Elephas maximus indicus: one gene and its partner. The protein of the gene in region 2 binds, or shares a complex with, the protein of the main gene of each other region. Links are inferred from orthologs where the notes say so. Each region holds a gene or a part of one and is shown on either strand. Other genes may lie near its edges. The genes, in order: PRDX1 and SIRT5.

The links.
Region 1: the proteins of SIRT5 (region 2) and PRDX1 are in contact, whole or in part, in a crystal structure (PDB 8Z54), measured with the Homo sapiens proteins. The link is inferred for Elephas maximus indicus from reciprocal best matches to the Homo sapiens genes SIRT5 and PRDX1. Residues at the interface, in NP_001363727.1 of Homo sapiens: Ala86, Tyr102, Arg105, Gln140, Ile142, His158, Val220, Val221, Trp222, Phe223, Gly224, Glu225, Asn226, Leu227, Leu232, Val253, Val254, Tyr255, Pro256; in NP_001189360.1 of Homo sapiens: Phe195, Ser196, Lys197, Gln198.

The regions. Positions count from the first base shown.
Region 1 is NC_064821.1:87,926,159-87,936,293, reverse strand, and holds the start of PRDX1 (peroxiredoxin-1), read left to right. Parts: upstream 1-5,738; 5' UTR 5,739-5,839; intron 5,840-7,508; 5' UTR 7,509-7,519; coding exon 7,520-7,625; intron 7,626-9,732; coding exon 9,733-9,886; intron 9,887-10,135. UniProt on the Homo sapiens protein: Thiol-specific peroxidase that catalyzes the reduction of hydrogen peroxide and organic hydroperoxides to water and alcohols, respectively.
Region 2 is NC_064819.1:57,938,260-57,948,274, reverse strand, and holds the start of SIRT5 (NAD-dependent protein deacylase sirtuin-5, mitochondrial), read right to left. Parts: upstream 4,460-10,015; 5' UTR 4,377-4,459; intron 4,081-4,376; exon of another isoform or gene 3,914-4,080; intron 3,902-3,913; exon of another isoform or gene 2,100-3,901; intron 1-2,099. UniProt on the Homo sapiens protein: NAD-dependent lysine demalonylase, desuccinylase and deglutarylase that specifically removes malonyl, succinyl and glutaryl groups on target proteins.

The DNA of each region.
Region 1 (10,135 bases), on a different chromosome or scaffold from region 2:
GGAAGACCGAAGAATTGATGGCTTTAAATTGTGGTGTTGGAGAAGAATATTGAACTGCCAAAAGAATGAACAAATCTGTCTTGGAAGAAGTACAGCCAGAATGCTCCTTAGAAACAAGAATGGCAAGACTATGTCTCACATACTTAGGACATACTGTCAGGAGGTGTCAGCCCCTGGAGAAATACATCATACTTGGTAAAGTAGAGGGTCCGCAAAAAAGTGGAAGACCCTTAATGAGGTGGACTGACACAGTGGCTGCAACAATGGGCTTAAGCATAATAATGATTGTGAGGATGGTGTACAACTGGGCAGTGTTTCGTTCTGTTGTGCAGAGGGTTGCTATGAGTCAGAACTGACTTGATAGCACCTAACAACAACAACAACAATGTTAAATAGCATATAAAACAAAGAACTAGATTTCTTGCTATTAAAATAACAAAATTTTCTTTGATTTCTGAGTTAAAGAGTTAATTTATTTGTGTAATCTGCCTTGAAGACAAAGGTTTGGCCTCTCGTTAGAGTAAGATTCCTGAGTCAAAAACCAAGCTGCGTGGCTTTAGAAAAAAAAAAAGCTAAGGTTTTTACGTTTCAGATCTTTGGCCTAATAACTTAAGTTTTGTTTCTCAGTGACCTTTAATAAGCTCCTGACAACCTTGAAACTTCTTGGAAAGCCACGAATTTTTTTTTTTAATAAAGGAAAAGTGCTAAAAAGATTATTTCAATATGTTATAAATTTCATGGAATGTGTTGTCAGAATCAAGAGAAGCGCCTGATTCTCTTTGGGTTAAAATTTATATGTTAGTGTTTTCTCTTATGTTTTTGCCTAATAGTGAAAATATTAGACAATAAATGAATAAGATTGTGTCATAATTTTATTATTATTTCTTACTTGCTAACTGGGTTACAACTTTATTAAATCAGTGGTTCGATTGGGGAATTCACATCATTTACCTATGAATTTTTTTTTTTATTACTATTCAGGTATTTAGAGACTTGACAATCTTGGTATATCCTGACTATATGGTATTATGTCTTAAGATTATTATGTATTATATCTGAAGCTCTTTGGAAATAAGGTTAACCATTATTTTTAGTATTATTTTTTATCTAACGTGTTTTAACTGATTTTATTTGGCCTTTACATTATGCTTGTAATTAATTTCTATCAAGTGTTTCACAATTAAGAGTGTTATTTATATAAGTTAATTATGGCCATATTCAGTTTTGTCATCTGCAGATAAGTGTTTACTTTGCTGATTTGCTGAAAACATTTGACCAAATTTCTCAACAAAAAGATGGACTGTATTGGACTTGTGAAAAGGACTGTGACTAGACTGAATAAAATTTCCAGAACTCTTATGCAGAGGCTGATGGGCTTACAGACCAGCTGAAACAGAAATTAACTACATAAGATTGAGTAAAGGATACTATGGGTTTTATGTGGGAATGTTGTTGATGCTTTAAGGTTCTACTTTCTAGATATAAGAAATTGTTTTCTTTCTCCTAAATTATCTAACTAATGGGTTTGGATATTTTAACTGTTGAATTAGAAGTTCCTGTTGGTAAACTTAGCAAAGTTGTAAATATAAATTTCTGAAGTTGGAGCTATAATTTTATAAAATAGAACAGCATTTCCTATTAGTCTCTCAAGGAACAGTTTTGTGCCTTAACGGATAAATGTTGCTATATTTATTTAAATACACAACCTGAGGTTTTGCAGAATGTAGTTGCTACTGAGACAACATGAAAAGCAGTTACTGATGCGGCTTATGCATAAATAAACCCCTCATGAAATTTGTTTTCTTGGTTCAAAGACCTTAGGGTCATGGTTTCATTAGTTATTTCAGACAGTTGGCCTCATACTATTGTTAGTGTTTCTATTCTACTTCCTAGTTCGCTGTATGGTGCCTGGGATCTTAAAAACCAGATGGTGCCCAATTACTGTTTATTGAGCATTTTTGATCAAAGATTCTATAGCAAGATCATGATCCAAAGGAGGGAACCATGAAAGAGTTATAATTCTTCTGGAATCCAGATTTCTGGCTTTCATGGAGGTTAGAGTAACCCATAATAGGAAATGCTGTTCTATTTCATATTTTAAAATTATAGCTCCAACTTCAGACATTTATATTTACAACTTTGCTATTGCCTTTGGGTGTCATTTTGAACCTTGAGCTTTGAGGAAAAAAAGGGTTCCTTGAAGAATTCAGTCTTTTGGGGAAACTGACTCCAAAGATTAGACTGAGAGTTACGTTTAGGGTAAATCAGTAATCCGTTTAATTAGTCTTCAAGACAGTCTAACGTTTATAATCAAACTCTCACCCTCTTACTATGTAGAAATTTATGTATCTTAAAGAAACCAGGTTCTCAGAGGAGGTCGACCTCATGGTTCAGACTCCATATTGTCTTAGGCTCCACTTTTGCTTCTGAGAAAGTGACTCATGACTGTTAATAGATAAACCAAAGAGGGGCAGCCTGCACTCAGGAAGAACACTTATTATGTTTTAAAGAGATTAACTGACGATCTCCAACAGGTGAGGTCCATCCTCTATTATCTTGCTAATCGTGAATTTTCTAATTCTCTGTTTGTCACATGTAAATTTTTCTATATTTTCTGTTTTCTCCAGACAAACTTTGTGTCTCCTTGTGGATATATGTTTTTATGTGGTAGAGCCAACTATACTAGTTTAGATGACTCCTTTCCAATTGATAGTGAATTTACGTGGGCAATCTCTTGTTTAGATCTCTGGTGAATGCATGGGCAATGCACTTTGGGAATGTTAGGATTACCTTTAGATATTCATAGTAATGATGCCAGTAAATATTGGAAAGGTAATGTTAAACTGTTATACATTGTAAAATGAAAGTCAGATGAAAACTCATTGGTTTAGCGCTCAGGGTATTGTTGGTAGCTTTAATTCCTACTTATGGTATAGTTGAATTGGAGAAATCTTTAAGAAATTTATCAATCACTATGCAACTAATAGATGAAGTTGCTAATGGGGTGGAAACACAACAGCAATCTCTGACCTCATAAGCCAAGGTGACATGAGATAATGGAATAGCCTTAGATTTTTTTATTGGTCCAAGAAAGTGTAATCTGTGCTGTAGCAAATACCTCTTGTTTCATTTGGATAAATAACACAGGAGAAGTAGAACAGGATATACATAGAATTAGACAGGCTACTTGGTTACACACTGTAATACCCTTACAAATACCAGATTTATTTAGTTGGTTACCATCAGGAATAAGTACATGGGCTAGATCACTATTGCAAGGGATAGTAATATTTTTAGTCTGTATCCTGATAGTATTATGCATAATAAAATTTATCTTCTATTGTCTTACACACCTAAAAGCCAAAAGGAGGCCTCGAGCTAAAATGTTGATGTACATTTAGTCTGCTTACTTCAGCAACGCAATTAATGAGAACGTTGCTCTTACTTAAGATTCTGGTGAAGAACCAGATGGTATCTGGTGGAAAACCAGCACTGTGAGTTTAAAGAGCCTACCATGGCCGCCATCTAGGAGCTCCACTAAGTCCAGGTATTGATCATCGATGTCTTATCTCCAACTTCCAATCAAAAGGAGGGAATGATTTAGTAGATGATATTGGAGCCATTATTCCTTGTCCTGGAATGTGACTCAGCTGGAGCTGGACTCACAAGGACTGTTGTAGGGGAAAAAACATCACAAAGTTTAGTAACCCAAAAAGAAAGCTTTATTTGGCATATATTCAAAAAGACAAAAGTGGGAAGCAGACAAGCATGCTGCCAGAGCTAATAATGTCTGCCCCAAGCTGGAGGAAGGCTACATTAGTAACATTACAAAAATGGGTAGAATCGTTGAAAGCTTCACCTTTTCACAGATTGGCTAGAAACTGTGGTATTACATTTTGAATTGCTTTTCTTAATAATCATTGGTATAGGTTTCAGTAACTGACAGTCAGAAGGGTCTTCATTGGTCCAACAAATATCTACTCACTAAATGTTAATAGAAAAAGGTAAGAGTGCAAAGTCTTTTGTGTTTTGTTTGATTGGCTTTATGTAAAAAGTTCCCTAAAAGATATTTTTCTTCCCTAAAAGATAATTTCTAAGATTGCTCTATCTATTGTCTTTATCTCTGGGCCCAGCGCATGTGTCCTTGTGACTCTTTGTGGGCCCAGCTTCAGCTGGGTAACATTCTCTATGCTCAAGGACAGGGAATAATAATCCCAATATTATTTTCTAAATTAAGACCCACAAAGACTCACAAGGACACATAAACTGGGCCCTGAGGCATAAAGACAATGGCTAGGACAATCTTGGAACACATCTTTTAGGGAATCTTCCACATAAGCTAGTAAAACAGCACAGAAGACCCATATGGTTTCCATTGTTACCTTTTTCTACTAGCATTTAGTGAATAGTAAGATTTGTTAGGCCAATGATGACCCTCCTATCATTACTGAAGCCTAGACCAATGATTGTTAAGAAAGACACTTCAAAATATAGGATCACGGTTTCTAGCCCATTTGTGAAAAGGTAAAACTTTTAATGGTTTTGCCTATTTGTAATGTTAATATATACTGATGATTCTGCATTGTTCTTTGGACAGACATGGCTCTAGCAGCAGGCATGTCTATTTTCCCACTTTATTCTGTAATATTTGCTTGGAGTTTGGGCAGACAAGGCCCTAACAGTATGCTTGTCCTTTTCCCACTTTTGCCTCTTTGCATATATGCCAAATAAAACTTTTCTTTTTGCTTTACTAAACTTTGTGATTTTTTTTTTTTCCCTACAACAAGCCATTCCCAGAGACTATCTTTTAGCCAGACCATAGACAGGCCCACAAAATAAAAACACTAGAGAGGAACATGCTCCTTAGAACAACCAATTGAACTAAATCAAAAGGGCAATATCTGCCCACAGGGATAGATGAGAAGGCAGGGAGGGGTAAAAAATCAGGACGAAAGGAAATGGGGAACCTAGGGAGGAAATGGGGAGAGTCCTGACACATCGTGGGGAATTAAACCAATGCTATTTTTTATGGAACATTTTATGCACAAACTATCAAATGGGAAACTAATTTGCTCTGTAAACTGTAACCCAATGCACAATTAAAAAAACAAAATCATAAGGCTTTTAATTCAGGGAATTGACTACAGAGCCCTGGTTTTTAAATCACAAATCCAAGGAGTGACATGATCACATTTCAATAAGATTCCCTTCAGCTATAGTGGAAGGAATGGATGGGAGATGGAAAACAGCTCAGCCAATAATCGGAATAATAAAGCGGCTTTATATTTTTATCCAAGGTACAGAAACCAGGGATACTAGTCATCTGGCAGACGCTGCGGTGACTGGGACGATTTGAGAAGTATTTAGATACTTCTCTCAGGGCTTGGTGTGTAGTTCCCAGGATGTCCTCCGTGAGCGACAGCGAGGACCCTTAATCTGGTTTGCGCTTTAAGGGCACAGCGCGCAAGGGGTCCTAGAAGTAAAGGAATCCCGGCCCCCATTGAGATCATAAATTAATTGAGGACTTTGGGCTTGAGGGCGGCCGAGAGTGCATCCCACTCTCCGACCTCAGCCGTTGGTGGCGGCAGTGATGACTGGGGGCGATTAGTACTATCTGCGACCACTCCCGCCCCTCAGCGAGGGGAAGTGCTGAGTCATTCTGGCGAGGCGCGATGGGACCCGACTGCGAGTGGGGCAGATTCCCCCTCCCTCTCCTCCTCCTGCACCCCCGGCCCACGCCGACTCTCGCGAGAGCCCAAGAAACTATAAAGGCAGCGCCCCACGCAAGCTCCGCAAATTCTTTTCCTGGCTGATCTTGGTGCCTTCTGTTTTGCAACTGGTGAGTCTCTAGGTAGCTTGGCCTCGCGAACCCCCCCACCTGTTGCTACTTTCTGCTCTCTTGCTTTTCTCCGGGGCTCACATAGTCTCTGTTGGAGGCGCCGTGACCGGCGAGGCGGCCCGCGGGGGCCTGGCGCCTGAAAGTGTTTGGGCGGTCCCCTCACCCCGCGTTGCGCATCTCCTTGTGCTTTCGGGGACTGGTTGAGCCCCGAGGCTTACACCCGCTCCAGTCTCTTTCCCTCGAGCAAAGTGTGCTGGTTGGCTTGGCGCGCGGCTGGGTGAGGCGGCGTGGGAGCTCCACGGCTAGCCTCCTGCGAGGCAGGGCGGGTTCGGGAAGCTTCTGGAGTGGACCTAGAACCAGAGCTGTGGCTGCAGAAGGTTACCCGTAATCGGTCTTTGTGTGGTAGAGGTGAAAGCGGCCCCGGTCTTCAGCTGTGATTTGCTGTGAGGTTTTCCCAAATTCCCTCGCTGAAGAATGCGCAATCTTTTCTGCTGGCGATTTCCGAACTACTAGGATGAGGGTGACGTTGGGAGCGGCAAGAAGGTACCTGAACTGGGCTTTGCAGGCGTGGCCCTCTCTAGGGGGTTTGGGAGCGTGTCTCCTGAGGGCGCCGCACCGACCGGAAGTCCAGCAGACTTTCCTCTTGGTTGGTCGGGCTTTTGTGGTGTTGGGGTCACCTGGAAAAACAGGTTTGGACGAGAAGCCTGTTTCTCTTAGGGCCACACCCCGTCGCCAAGTTGCAGCGTACCTTACGGTTTCTTTGTTAAAGGGTGTTAAAATAGTTTTTATTTTATACAGGCTGTGAAACCTTTGCGAAGATCGATTCTAGGCATGCGCACAACGTTTCCTTTGATTGTATTATGAACCGAGAACTTTGGGCATTACGGGAAAATTAGTTTCTTAGGGTTTTCAAACCGGTAACTTAATTGAGTTAAATCTTAACTCCTTATCTTGGTATTGATCTGGGCGAATCCAATGCATTAAACTGAACTCTTGATGGCACTGATTTTTCTTCCGGGATCTCGGCCCCGAGGCCAGACACCCATTTTGAAAAGACTTCTAGGGCTAAATCCAATACCTAAAGTTTTTAAATTGAGCAGATGCCAGAATCTTGGTCTGGATTGGCTTTAGGGCGTGTGCTTTCTTGGGCACATCCACCTGGAGAAAGTTCCAGTGCACTTTACATCTTATAGATGGAGGTGCAGTCGGCAGAAAGGCAACATGAGGGCTTGTGGGAGTCAGGCAATCAGCGTTGGTGGCTTTGTGCATTGTGTACTTGGGTTCTGGTTTGAGAGTCTCTACCTTATCCCTCCCTTCTCGGTGCTTCTGTATAATGAAAAGGCAGAAGAAAATGCCGGTTCATAATGTCTCAGAAAAGGTGACTTCGACTTACTAAAAAATTGTCCTTTTTAGATGAAAACAAAGACTGAGATTTCAGAGACTTTTGTAACATCTGGGTTTGGTCCAGAAATTAGAAAGCTCAGATTGTGGCCCTTCCATTGTGACTCTTGGCTGCTGGCTTGCATTACTAATGATAAAAATTTTGTGTTCAGGACCACTGGACCTGATTGTTCTTGGTTCTACCACTAAGTCCCTAAGTAGGTGAGAGCTACCTTGTATCTAAAAAGACAAGACTTGTTTTTAATTCATTTTCTTTTATCTTTTCCAGCTGATAACAAGATGTCTTCAGGAGCTGCTAAAATTGGGCACCCTGCCCCCAACTTCAAAGCTACAGCCGTTATGCCAGATGGTCAGTTCAAAGATATCAGCTTGTCTGACTACAAAGGTAAGAGTAATTACATGGGATTCATTATAATGGAATTATGATCCAGAGATAACTTGTTAAATTTTGGTATCTGTTACATTTGATTCTAAAATTCTTTGTATCTCCCAGGACAAGGCCTTTAGGGCAGGATTCTGTTACCTTTATGCTGAAGCAAAAGAGTGATGATCAGTGTTTACAGAATAGATATTGTAGGTTCAGACTTCTTCTGGAGAAGGCACATGCTTCATTATATGTAACCATATTAGGTCAATTTGATTTTCTCAGTACTTCTGAATTGTTTTCATTATCATCTCTTCTGTTAAGACGCCTGGCCAGGCCCAGTGGTTAAGAGCTTGCCTGCTAACCAAAAGGTTGGGAGTTCAAATCCACTAGCCCCTCCTGGAAACCCTGTGGAGCAGTTCTACTCTGTCCTGTAGGGTTGCTGGTGAGTCGGAATCAACTTGATGTCAACGGGTTTGCTTTTTTTGCTATATTCTCAAGTCTTTGGGCTATGATACAGCTTAGTGGTCATTTGTGAAATGTGTGTGTCACAGCCATTACGTTATTAGGCAGAGGGCTCAGGCCCATTCCCTTGACTGTTTTTGCCGCCCCCGCCCCCCCGCGCCAGAGAAGAGTTGATGTCACAGCTGAAACAACTCCCCTTAGTTACGTGCAGACACTTGGCAGTCTCTAATGAGGCCATTCCTTTCTTGCAGTCCCAGAGCACCTGGGTCTTCTGGGATAAAGATTTCTTAGAATGCAAACCTCGAACTCAAGTGTACTTCCCTTAGTGGTGTAGTAATTGGTTCTTGGAGTTGGCTTTTGGGTAGAACTTTTAACTAGGTTTCCTAACACGTCGCACTTGTTCGATGGTGATGAGAGCAAGTAAGTGGGGCCCTGTGGAGGGAAGCTTCTCCTGACAAAGTAAGTAACACCAGAGGTACGTGACCCTGGCCCAAGAGTATAGGCATTAGGTCTAGGAGGAGCAGCTCTCTGCCCTCCAGGGCTTGATCTGCTGAGGCTTCAAAGTGCTTGTTAGGTAAAGCCCTGGAGGAGTTATTTAGATGAGTCAGCTTCTAGTTACTTTCCTTTTCAAAGTAAATGTCAAAAAAAAAGGCTACCTGGGAATAAAGTAAATGTTTGGAGTTGTTCCATAGCTCAGCACGTTAGGTGTGGTAAGAGACTTCCTGGACAGTTTGAAGGTCTACTTCAACTGGTAATCTGAGTGACCAGTAAAATTCCAGTTAGAAGTTGTGTTAACCTACCGGGACTTTTGAAACTTTGTTTATAAGATTTTTATTTCTTGTCCTGTCAGGTTTGTTAGGAACGAGTTTGTGGCGATTGAGGTCCTTAAAGGTCCTTACCGGTCCCATCACTATGGTTCATTGTGAAAGACGTACAAAGGCTGACTTCCTTTTGTTGGTTTCTTGTCACCTGTCAGCAGAGAGCTCAGCAATTCAGCTCTGGGCACTCTTCTAAGCATTGGCAATATGCCACCCAGTTAAAAGTGATAATTGCGTTTTGCTTTCCTTCATTGGAGTAAGAACGTGGTGTTTATACTCTTGCCTTAACTAACCGTAGGAGTAGATAGAGGTTATAGGAGTTACAGTTGGCAGCTAATGAGGAGGCAGGAGAATAAAGCATGGAGCTAGAAAGAATTTTTTCTCATTCAGATGTATGAGTCTCCAGGCCCTCCTGCTGCAACAAGTTCTAAAATAGATGCTAGGAGACAGCTATGTTGAGTCGTCTTGCCCGGGCTTTGAATCTGTTCGTTCTGGTTCAAACCCCTATTGAGAATTGCATTTTTAACAAGTTCCAGGTGATGCTGATGTTGCTGGTTAGGGACCATGCCAGAACCACTAGTACATCAGTGGTTCTCAAAATCTATTACACGTAAGGATCATCTGTGGATATTGTGAAAGTGTAGGGCCTGATTCAGTATATCTGCGGTGGAAATGAAAATTCTCAGCAGGGGTTCAAACCAGAATGAACTGGTTTGAAGCCCTGGTCTTGTCATTTAACAATTGTGTGTCTGCCATCAACTTAATAAGAAAGGCTTTTTCATAGGAAATGTATCCTTAGCTTTTCGTTCTCTGTAAGGCTAACCTGAGGATTCTTTCCTTTTCAGGAAAATATATTGTGTTCTTTTTTTATCCTCTTGACTTCACCTTTGTGTGCCCTACGGAGATCATTGCTTTTAGTGACAGGGCAGAAGAATTTAAGAAACTCAACTGCCAAGTGATTGGTGCTTCCGTGGATTCTCACTTCTGTCATCTGGCTTGGTAAATGTCTTTGTCTGTTTGGCATGTGGACTTACTAACTAAGCAGCAATTGGGAGACATTGGCAATAGACTTTCTCAAGTTTTGACTTCTGGCTCCTTGTAGACAGAGTACAAAGGCTCTTGACTTCTTGTTGCTTTCTTGTTACTTGGCAGCAGAGAAGAAGCAGCTTGAGTTGCAGCTGAGCATGTTCTGGTGATCTTTACTGTCTTCAGCCATTCACTTTGCTGCTAGAAAGACTTTTGAGTATT
Region 2 (10,015 bases):
AACTGTTTTTACCACCCAGGGGCCTTACGGGATACCTTAAGAAGCAAACCCGCTGCCATCAAGTCAATTCCAATTCATGGGAACTCTGTAAGACAGTAGAACTGCCCCCATAAGGTTTCCCAGGCTGTAATCTTCAGGAAAGCAGGCTGCCACATATTTCTCCCACAGAGCTGCTGGTGAGTTCAAACTGCCAACCTGTGGGTTAACAGCTGAGCGCTTTAACCAGTGAGCCACCAGGGCTCACTTATGGAATACTTTAGTGAGGGACAAATGAGGCATTATTATAGTTTTTTTTAATTACAGAAAAATTTAAATGTATAGAAAAAGCAGAACATTACCGTTTCCATTACCCAGCTTTTACATTTATCAAGGGGGTCTTCTCACGTCCATTTGAGGCTTAAAAATATCGTCATGGCAGTATTTTTAAAACTTGTACATCTCAATGAAATTTTGTGAAAATTAAAGCTCCCGATACTGCCTAACCTACTAAAAACTTTCTATGTGTTGTGTGAAGTTAGTTGTACTATTGTTTTGAGCTTAATATCTTTAGTTATTTCTCCCAAATTGGGGGCAAAAATTTGATCTAGACTTCCAATTTGATCCAGAAAATCCTTTTCTTCTTCTGTGGGTTTTAAATGTTGGGAAACATTTCTACCTACTGTAAAAGAATTATAGTTAACTTCTGAATGAACGGTCATATTTCTTTGTCAGACGTGAAGGTAGGCTTTCATAGGACAGTAAGAATTTAAAATGCAATCAACAGAGGTACCAATGTCAAGTATCTTCTGCTGGACGGCCGTGTAATGAAGGCAAATCTTCATTCTACTCTAAACTTGAGTGCTGGACCTGTTGCTGATTATAAAGGTATTCGTGGCAAATATGATAATTCTAAAGAATTTTAAAATTAGAACTTGTATTATTTCGGTAAAATGTTACTAATTTTTCATTGTCTAAGTTTTTCTATTCAAATGTTTTAATTATTGAATAATAGTAATAATACTAAACCCAAAATAATAAAGCAGAAAAGAAGTTTTACTTATTCATGTTTCAACATCTCCAAAAATCACTAGCTTCTAAATTCTTTGCCTAGGAAATGCAATCAGCAAGAACTTGGGGGGAAGACAGTTTTGGTTCTCATCTTATCATGTGAATTATAATGTCTAATCACACACAGGAAACTGTGGTGGTAGAGTGGTTAAGAGCTACCGCAGCTAACCAAAAGGTCAACAGTTCAAATCCACCAGGTGCTCCTTGGAAACCCTATGGGGCATTTGGAATCGACGCAACAGCGATGGGTTTTGGTTTAATCATATATTATACATACATACATATTTGTGTATTGTATTCAATTGTATGCAATTAAAATACTAATTTTTATTTCAAACTTTTTATCCACCCAAACCCACTGCCATAGAGTGAATTCCAACTCACAGCAGCTCCAAAGGACAGGGTAGAACTTCCCCATTGGGTTTCCAAGGCTGTAATCCTTATGGCTGGTGGGTTCAAAACGCCAACCTTTCAGTTATCAGTGGAACACTTAACCACTGTGCCACCAGGGTTCCTTCTTTTATCCACACTAAGTCACAGATTAGTGGAACAATAGATTAGATAAAGTCTTTCATGTCTATCTGAAGTAATGGATCAGTGAGGCAATTTTGGTCTCACTGGTGACAAAAACCACTCTATTGCTTATCAGTGGACATTTCACATGATTTTCTTTTTAAGGAAATGGAATTATCAGAATTTGCAAAATTTTCAAGTAATTTACAAGATGTTCTGCAGGAGTCTCTCCAAATGTGAAAACAAAGTAAAGATAAAAGCAAAGTTTTTAACATTTTTGAATACCACCTCAAATTTATTTCCAATTATGGAAATGCTCAGAACATTAAGACTAGAGGGCCAATGGAAATGAGGGGAGCCCTCAATGAGGGGAACACAATAGCCCCAACAATGGACTCAAACCCACCAACAATCTTGAAGGTGGCACAGGATCAGGAACATTCAGTTCTACGTAAGGTCACCATGAGTCTGAGCTGCAACTAACAGCCACAACCACCACAAAAATCTTTATTGGAAGTATCCTCTGTGCCAACACTTACCTGTTTTTCTAGGGAGTGGGCAGTGGTTCTAACTTCCAGAAGCTTACAATTCTGTTGGAGCCTGAAAACAAGCGCAGGGCAGTGCCACTGTGAGAGTCTGAGGCCTGAGAACTCAGTCCTGGAGTGCAAGGGACCGGGGGACAGTCACTGAAGGCTGCCCTGGGTGATGAAACCACCAATTACTCTGCCTTGGTTTTATCTTGGGGTGAGAAGAGAATCTTCAGGGGAGGAAATAAACTTAAATCACCAGTCACTGGGAGCTTTCCGGGGGCTGGGCAGATTCCCTACAATGACATTAGTCCTTGTAAGGGCAGTCTCTTCTGTAAGGAGACTTTCTTGTGAAACCTGAAGTTCACCTCATGAATTTAAAAAAAAAAGTAAAGAAAAATGCCTGTACGTTGCCTGTGAGAAAAAAAGGGGTATGCTATCCATTCCAAAAAATATATAAATGAGAAGTTCTATCAGGAATTTGGGAGAAAAAATTTTACAGAAAACATTAATTTTAAATACATGGTATTATAATGCAAAACAAAAAAACCAAATCAAACCCAATGCCACTGAGTCAATTCCGACTCATAGCAACCTCATAGGGCAGGGTTTCCACGGAACAGCTGGTGGGTTATACATAACACAGAGGAACTACAAAAACTTGCAAAATTCACGAAACCCAAAAACCAAACCCATTTGCTGTCCAGTCTATTACGACTCATGTGCTATAGGACAGAGTAGAACTGCCTTATAGGGTTTCCAAAGAACAGCTGGTGGATTAGAACTGCCAACCTTTTGGCTAGTAGCGGAGCTCTTAACCACTGTGCCACCAGGGCTCTGCTTAATTCACAGGTGTCCAGTAAATACCCTTTGAATATCTATAAGCTAAATACAGTGTGGGGCACTAGTCCCCAGTTGTCTACACAGGTGTACTCTATTCCCTCTCCTTACTCTACCACCTACATTTGTCAAGGTCACCAGCCACCTCCGTATTACTAAATCCAGTGGAGTCTCTGTTCTCCACCTTGGTCATGCCCAACCTTTCAACCACTCCATCGAGTCTCCGAAAAGCCCTCCTTTCCCTTGGTCTCCCACCACACTCCACTGATGCTCACCTGATAGCTCTCTAACCGCCCCTCCCCCCAAGTTTTCCAGTAGGGTGCCTCCCCTGCGAGATCACCAGCCAGTGGATCTGCCACGTTTATACCACTGCCATCCTCCCAGGGAGCCCTGGTGACTCAGATGTTAAAAGCTCAGGCTGCTAACCAAAAGGTTCGCAGTTCAAATCCACCAGCTGCTCCCTGGAAACCCTACGGGGCAATTCCACTCTGTCCAATAGGCTCGCTGTGTGTCCGAATCAACTTCAGGGCAACGGGCAATGGGTCATCCCCCCCAAAGCTCTAGACTGCTAGGCCCAGTGCCTTCTCTACGCCTCCCTTCCAATGTCCACCATGCCCGGGGTCTCCAACTTCCCCCAAGCCTCCTCTTCGCAAAGCCGCCCTCATTTGGTCTTCTAGGTTTGGGCACCTCCCTCCCTCCCCGCGCTGTTCTGGCCAAAGGCCTTGACCCTGACTCCTCCCCTTTCTCTCACCCCGGGCCAGGCTCTTGAGCAAACCCTGGCAGCTCCACCTCCACTCTAGGTCCTGTATCCGACCCCTTCTCCCACGTGCGCTGCCCCCGCCTAGCCCAAGCCACCATCACCTGCCAGGACTGACCCTGCCAGGAGTGGCTCTTCTCAAAGGTGAACCTCTGCTCAGAGCCCTCCTGGGGCTCCCCCTTCACAGAGGCCACCAAGCCCACCTACTAGGGCCCCGTTAGTCTCCAACCTCGTTTCCTGCCCCTTCCCTCGCCTCTCCGGCCGCTACTGCCTCCGGGGGCGTCCAGCGCCCGCCCTCAGCGCCGTCTAGGCTTCCTCCCCAAGGGGCCTGCGCTTCCGATGGCTCTTCGGGACCCGCGGTCACCAGGGGTTGACCCCGCCTCGGGGACCGTCCACTTCCCCTCCCCCCACGCCCCCGCCCTCCGGGATCGCCCACCTCCCCCCCTCCAGAGCCTGTCCCACCCCTGCCCCCTAGACCAGCGCCCCCCACGGCCCTGCACTAAAGGCCGCGGGGAATGGGCCGGGCCGGGCATGCGCGCTGCGGCCGGCACCGCCTCCGACCCCAAGGGCCCGCGGCTCGCCCGGGACCGAGCGGTACAGACACAGCCCGGCCGGAGGCCGAGCTCGGCGGGGACTCCGGGGGGAACAGGCGAGGCCGCGGAGACCCCAGTCCAGCCCGGGCGGAGACGCACCTGCACCACGGGAGGCGGAGACGCCGGCGGCGGGCCGGGGTGCGGGGGCTGGACTAAGAGGGCGCGGGGCGGAGCAGTGCCACCCGCCTGCTGGGCGACAGCGACCTCTACCGGAGACCCGGAGCTGAGGGACTCCGGAGCAATGGGACCCATTACCACGGTTCTTTTTATTGCACGGTTTTTTGTTTTTGTTTTTTCTTTCATTTGGGCTCGCGGGAGTGGAAAGACAGTTTTTGCTTCATCTTTGTGAGCTTCCAGGTTTCACTCTGTTGCCCAGATATGTCGTGAACTACTATCTGCTTTGCTTCTTCCTTATCTTAGGCCAGGTTCTCTAAAAGAGAAGGAAAACCAGTGAGGCCTATAAATACATATACAGAGAGATTTAGGTCAAGGAAATGTCTCACACAGTTGTAGAGGATGGAAAGTCCCAAATTTATGGGTCTGGTTGGAGGCGTCTCCTGACTCAAGTAGTTGCAGGGTCTGGAGAATCCAAGATTGGCGGGTGGGGCAGCAGGCCTCTGGCTCACAGGCTGCTGAGGCAGACAAACCCCAAATGGGCAGGTAAGCTGCTAGCTCAAGTCCCAAGAACCAGAGGTCAGATGGACAGGAGCTAGCTGCAGGATCTAGAGCAAGCAAAAGCCAGAGAGCTTTAGCCAGAAAGTCCACCTATATTGGTTGCAGGCCAAATCCAAGGAAACTCTCTTTGAACTAATTGCTCATAACAAGTCTCATCACGGAGGTGATTACATTATATCAAATCTCATTATGGAGATTACATCATTACCTAGCTGCCAAACTGCATCATAACTGCCAAACCACTGAGCATCATGGCCCAGCCAAGTTGACACAAAACCTTAACCATTGCACTTCTTGAGCAAACAGCTGGTGCACTGTACACAGCTTCAGGACAGAGCAGTTCAGATGTTGGGTTATGTTCTCAGAAATGTTATTTCCAGTCGTGGTTAGTTGGTTTCCCTGTCTAGCCCACCAAACCCCTCTAACCCAGTGAAGAATGCTACCTGCTCGCCTGTGCAGGTGCATTGCAGACTGCTGGTGTTTGCAATCCTTACCCAGGTGTCAGAAGGGCACAGTTTGGGGGCTCTGGGACTTGGTGGCTTATGTGGCTCCAAGTGGCTGAGTTCCCTTTTAAATGGTCCCCTTTCCTTTTCTTTGAAGCAGGCTTACCACCAGCACGACTTTTCCTAGAATGAAATTACTTATGGGCACACCAAATGAACTAGAAGAGGAAGTGGTCCGGAAACTTGGTTAACAAAAAATTGCGTTAACTTTTATCCCCTTAATTCGGACCTCAACCATGACCCACACAGCTTGAATGGGAATTAAGACCACTGTGGGGCTCCTTTAGCTCCCGTAAATTGTTATCTGATGAAATAGGTACTATTATTTCTGGCTTTACAAGTGGGGAAACTGAGACACCAGGAGGTCAAGTAACTGCCCAAGACACAAAGCCTTTTAGTAGAGCTGGGATTTGAACCTAAGTGCTTTGGTTCCGGAGTCTAGGATGTGAACCACCAGGTATACCACCACTCAAAGTGTTTTTCCATTACTTTTTGTTCTTATGATACTGGCCGTCAAGTAAGCGTTGATCCTTTACTTCAGTTGGACACTGGAGGAAGGAGGGGAGGCCCAACGCCCTTTATTGTAACCTATAGTCCACAAAAGGAGCCTTGGTGGTACAGTGATTAAGCACTCGGCTGCTAACTGAAAGGTCAGTAATTTGAACCCACCAGCCACTCTGGGAGAAAAAGATGTGGCAGTCAAAAGATACAACCTTGAAAACCCTATGGGACAGTTCTGCTTTGTCCTATAGGGTAACTATGAATTGGAATCAAATTGATGGCACACAACAACACAGTCCACGGACCCAATATGTAGCCCTCCGCCTCTCCTGGAATGTTCTGCCACCTTTGGGACATTGCATTACATTAAGGTCCAGGAGCCCATCACCACAGCTACCTACCACACCACCCCTCACCCCCATTCTTTCTCCCAGACTTGGAAGAGCTGGCTTTCCCCAGCATGTCAGGCCACTTCTAGAACCATCAGCCACTATCCTTTCCATCTTTCAAGGAACCCCAGCTTACTTTCTCAATGGCTTTGCTCTTCCAAAACAAAGGCTTTTCCCTTTTTCTGGAATGTTCTTTTCCCACTCCCTCCATAGTAACTCCTCTCATCCTTCTAGTCTCAGCTCTACTGTCACTTCCTCAAGGAAACCTTGTCAGACGATCTCCCACTCCAGTGAGTGAGATCCCTCACCTTTGACGTAGGGTGGTACAGCACCATAGCAGTTATCCCCTTCCAAATTTCACTTTCTCTGTGTATTTGATTACAGTATCCTTCCCCTGCTAGGCTGTGTGCTCCCTGAAGGTGACCCCCCTTGTCTCCTTTAAACTCACCCTGGTATTCTCAACACCTCACAGTCCCTGATAGTAGATACTCAATTAGTAAACATGTATTAAATGAATGAATGAACAGCCTCACAGGAAATAAGGTTAATGGCTTGGCAGTCTTTACTGAAATTTAAGAAAAGGAAATTACCTTTTCTTTTTTTGCTTGTGAGTCCAGAGCAGCACATGGAAAAAATGACTTATTGATAATTCATTATATCTACAGACATTTTCCTGGGGTAACCAGGTAGGTGGCATAAGAACTTGAGGTACATACATTGGAAGGTAGTATTACCTCCTTCATGAAATTCAGACTGCCAAGCTTTCCCTCTGGAAAGCAGATTTCCCCACCCTGAATTTTACATCCTCTTGGGGTTACTCTGTTACTGATTCTCAGGAGGTGGACTGGGTCCTTTTTAAGCCTCTGATGCAGATACACCCATGGAACATAAACACTTAGGGTTGGTGTCCTTTATCTATTGATTTATTTGGACACACCGGGAAAAGGTTGGAATTTTCTAGGGGTTTTACTCAATACTAAGGGAGAGCAGGAAGAAGATAAACATCAAGATTACAAAACTACAAGAGATATATAAACACAATCTAGAAATTGTGCCAAATTGTAGCCCCCCGAGATTCTGTATTTCCCAGCTCCAGCCTGTTTCCTCGTGAAGATGCCAAGGTAATGCTCATCATCACACCCCCACTCCCACCCCTGTGCATCCGGAGCCCTTCACAGAGAAAGGCAAGAAGTCAGGACCTCTCTGCACACCCCCTTAGTTTCTCTGGGTTCTAGAGTGAGGCTCAAGGGATGATCAACACCAAGAATGACCCTGCCCTAAGGTGGACCCCCACACACGTCACCCAAAGGTTGAGGCTCTAATGTAACTTGTCAGCTGGTCAGTGCATCTGAAAATAACATATAGCCAGGAGGTTCTTCCAACCCTACTACCCCCAGCAACAAATGCACATAGCACAAACTTAAGAAATAAAATTGTCATGAATAACTGAACTGTGAATAGTGACAGGAAAATGGGAGGCACAGGTGTTTGCATGCTCTTCTGTGAGGAAAAGTCTGTATCGCTCAGTGGAACGTCACACTGTCTTTCAACGGTTGGGTGGTGAGAGGTGGGTATGTGGGGGAAGGGGACAGTGTCCATAATTTTAATGTCCAAGAGCTCTGTTCTTTTTCATGTTTATAGCATCTTGTTTGTTGTTGCTTGTTTTGGTGGCTGCAGTATCTCTTATTTTTTGAAGATGTGGAAGAAACAGAAGAGCAGCAATGTGTCTCTCACTGCCACACTCAGAGAGAATTTTCCAAGTGAATTTTTTCATTTTCATTTTGATCAGCAGATACAGTTCTCCCTTCATGCCCCCATCCATCCCTGACAAGGTGTCCAAGTTCTCTACACTTACTAGTGTTTACCATTGAGTGGAAGACTGTCCACAGTTGGGGGCACATAGAGTTACATGGGCAGGTCCATACTTGAGGACATCTCTCCTCTGAGTCCCTTCTGCCCTGCTCCTTGGCCTCCGTGATCCCTCAGAGATAAGGATCAAAGTCCCAACAGGTTCCAAATGCTGGTTCTTTCTCATGTTGGAGACCTGTGTAGTTTTGACAGGTTCTTTTAATCCGTACCTCCCTTAACATAGTCAGAGCCTCCTCAGCTTCTTAGTCTTGATATGTTTGCACCTTTTCCAGCTGAGGGCACCTCTATCCTGACAGGAAACCCCTGGGACAGGATCCTATCCAAGAAAACTAGTAGCCAACTCCACTTCCACAGAGCCACATCAGGCCAATGGAAAACACGCATGAATCCTTTCTCTGCCAAACTCTGGAAATGTAAAATGGCTATAAAAATGGTGGTGTGGTGGCATCAGAGAGCCTTTAACTTCAGGGGGTAGGGGAATCAGCATCAGCCCAAGGCTGGTTCCTATGAGGTGGAGGTCAGATATACCTCCTTTCTCCAAACTTTTTACCAGTTCAGACACTAGCCATCCCTCCCACGGCACTCTCTACTTCTCTGCTGGATTCAGTGATTTGTTGCAATGGCCACACAGAACTCACAGACAATACTCACAATTATGGGGTTTATTAGGGAAGTAACAGGTACAACTCAGGATCAGGATCAGGATCAGAAAACATGCAAAGTCTCCATTCTCTGGTGCAGGACAGCTCTCTCAGCTCCTCCCAGCTGTGCAGGGCTCTTTTTGGCCCCCTGAGGGCAATCTCTTTTTGGCCCCTTGAGGGGCTCTATATGACAGAGTAGAACTACCCACAGGGTTTCCTAGGCTGAGGACAGACTCCTCTCTCAGCCCTCAGCCCCCACTCAGGCTTGGCCCCTGCCCTGCTCAGGAAAGTGTTACGAAGCTCTTTAGCTCTGCAAACAGCCTCCTGCCCAAAAGTGCTCTCAGCTCTCTCTTTCTATGGGTCAGTGCTGCTAGATCCACCAACAAGTCCCCAGAGGCACCCTGCTCTGCTTCCAAACCTTCTTTCTGGAGGCTCTCAGCATTCTTGCTTCATGGATCAACACACCCACTGTAACCACCTCCCTCTGGAGGCTGGGGAACACACTGTGCCATCTTGTACCAGTCTCCTGGTTCTGCTGGTGCTGTTTCTCTCCCATGCTTGCTGCCACTTCTCACCATCTTGCCCTATCTCCAGTGTTACAGCTCTCTGTCTCCTGGGTCTAGGAGATTCCCAGCATAGGTACCTTGGGTCCAAAGGACACACTCTGCTCCTGGCTCTTCTTCATGGTAGTAAAGTCTCCTCTCTGCTCTGGGATTGGCTCTCTTTTTAAGCCTCATGGGTGGCAAAACTGACCAATCGCCTTGTTAGGGTTCCATATACTTTATTTACATGGTTCCACCTCCACAAGTTTTCCACACACCTTATTTGCATTGTTAGCAAGCTGTCCAATCCCCTTGGTGGGCCACAAGAACCTTATTTGCATAGTCCCACCCAACCATTTTGTGGGAATCACAAAGACTATGGCTAGAAGGGCCATATTAAGTAACTCACTGCACCACAAAAGCATTCCCAACACAGCCCTGACTCTGTGCTCTGCCCCTTCAGGCATCTAGCCACATCCTCTCACATTTGGACTTTTTCAAGCACACACTGGATACCAGTCTCTGAGTCTCTCTGGATCCAGAGGACACCAGTCACACTCTCTGGGTGGTTTTCTGGAAGTCCTCCTCACCTGACTTGAGGGGGAGGGGAAGAGCTCC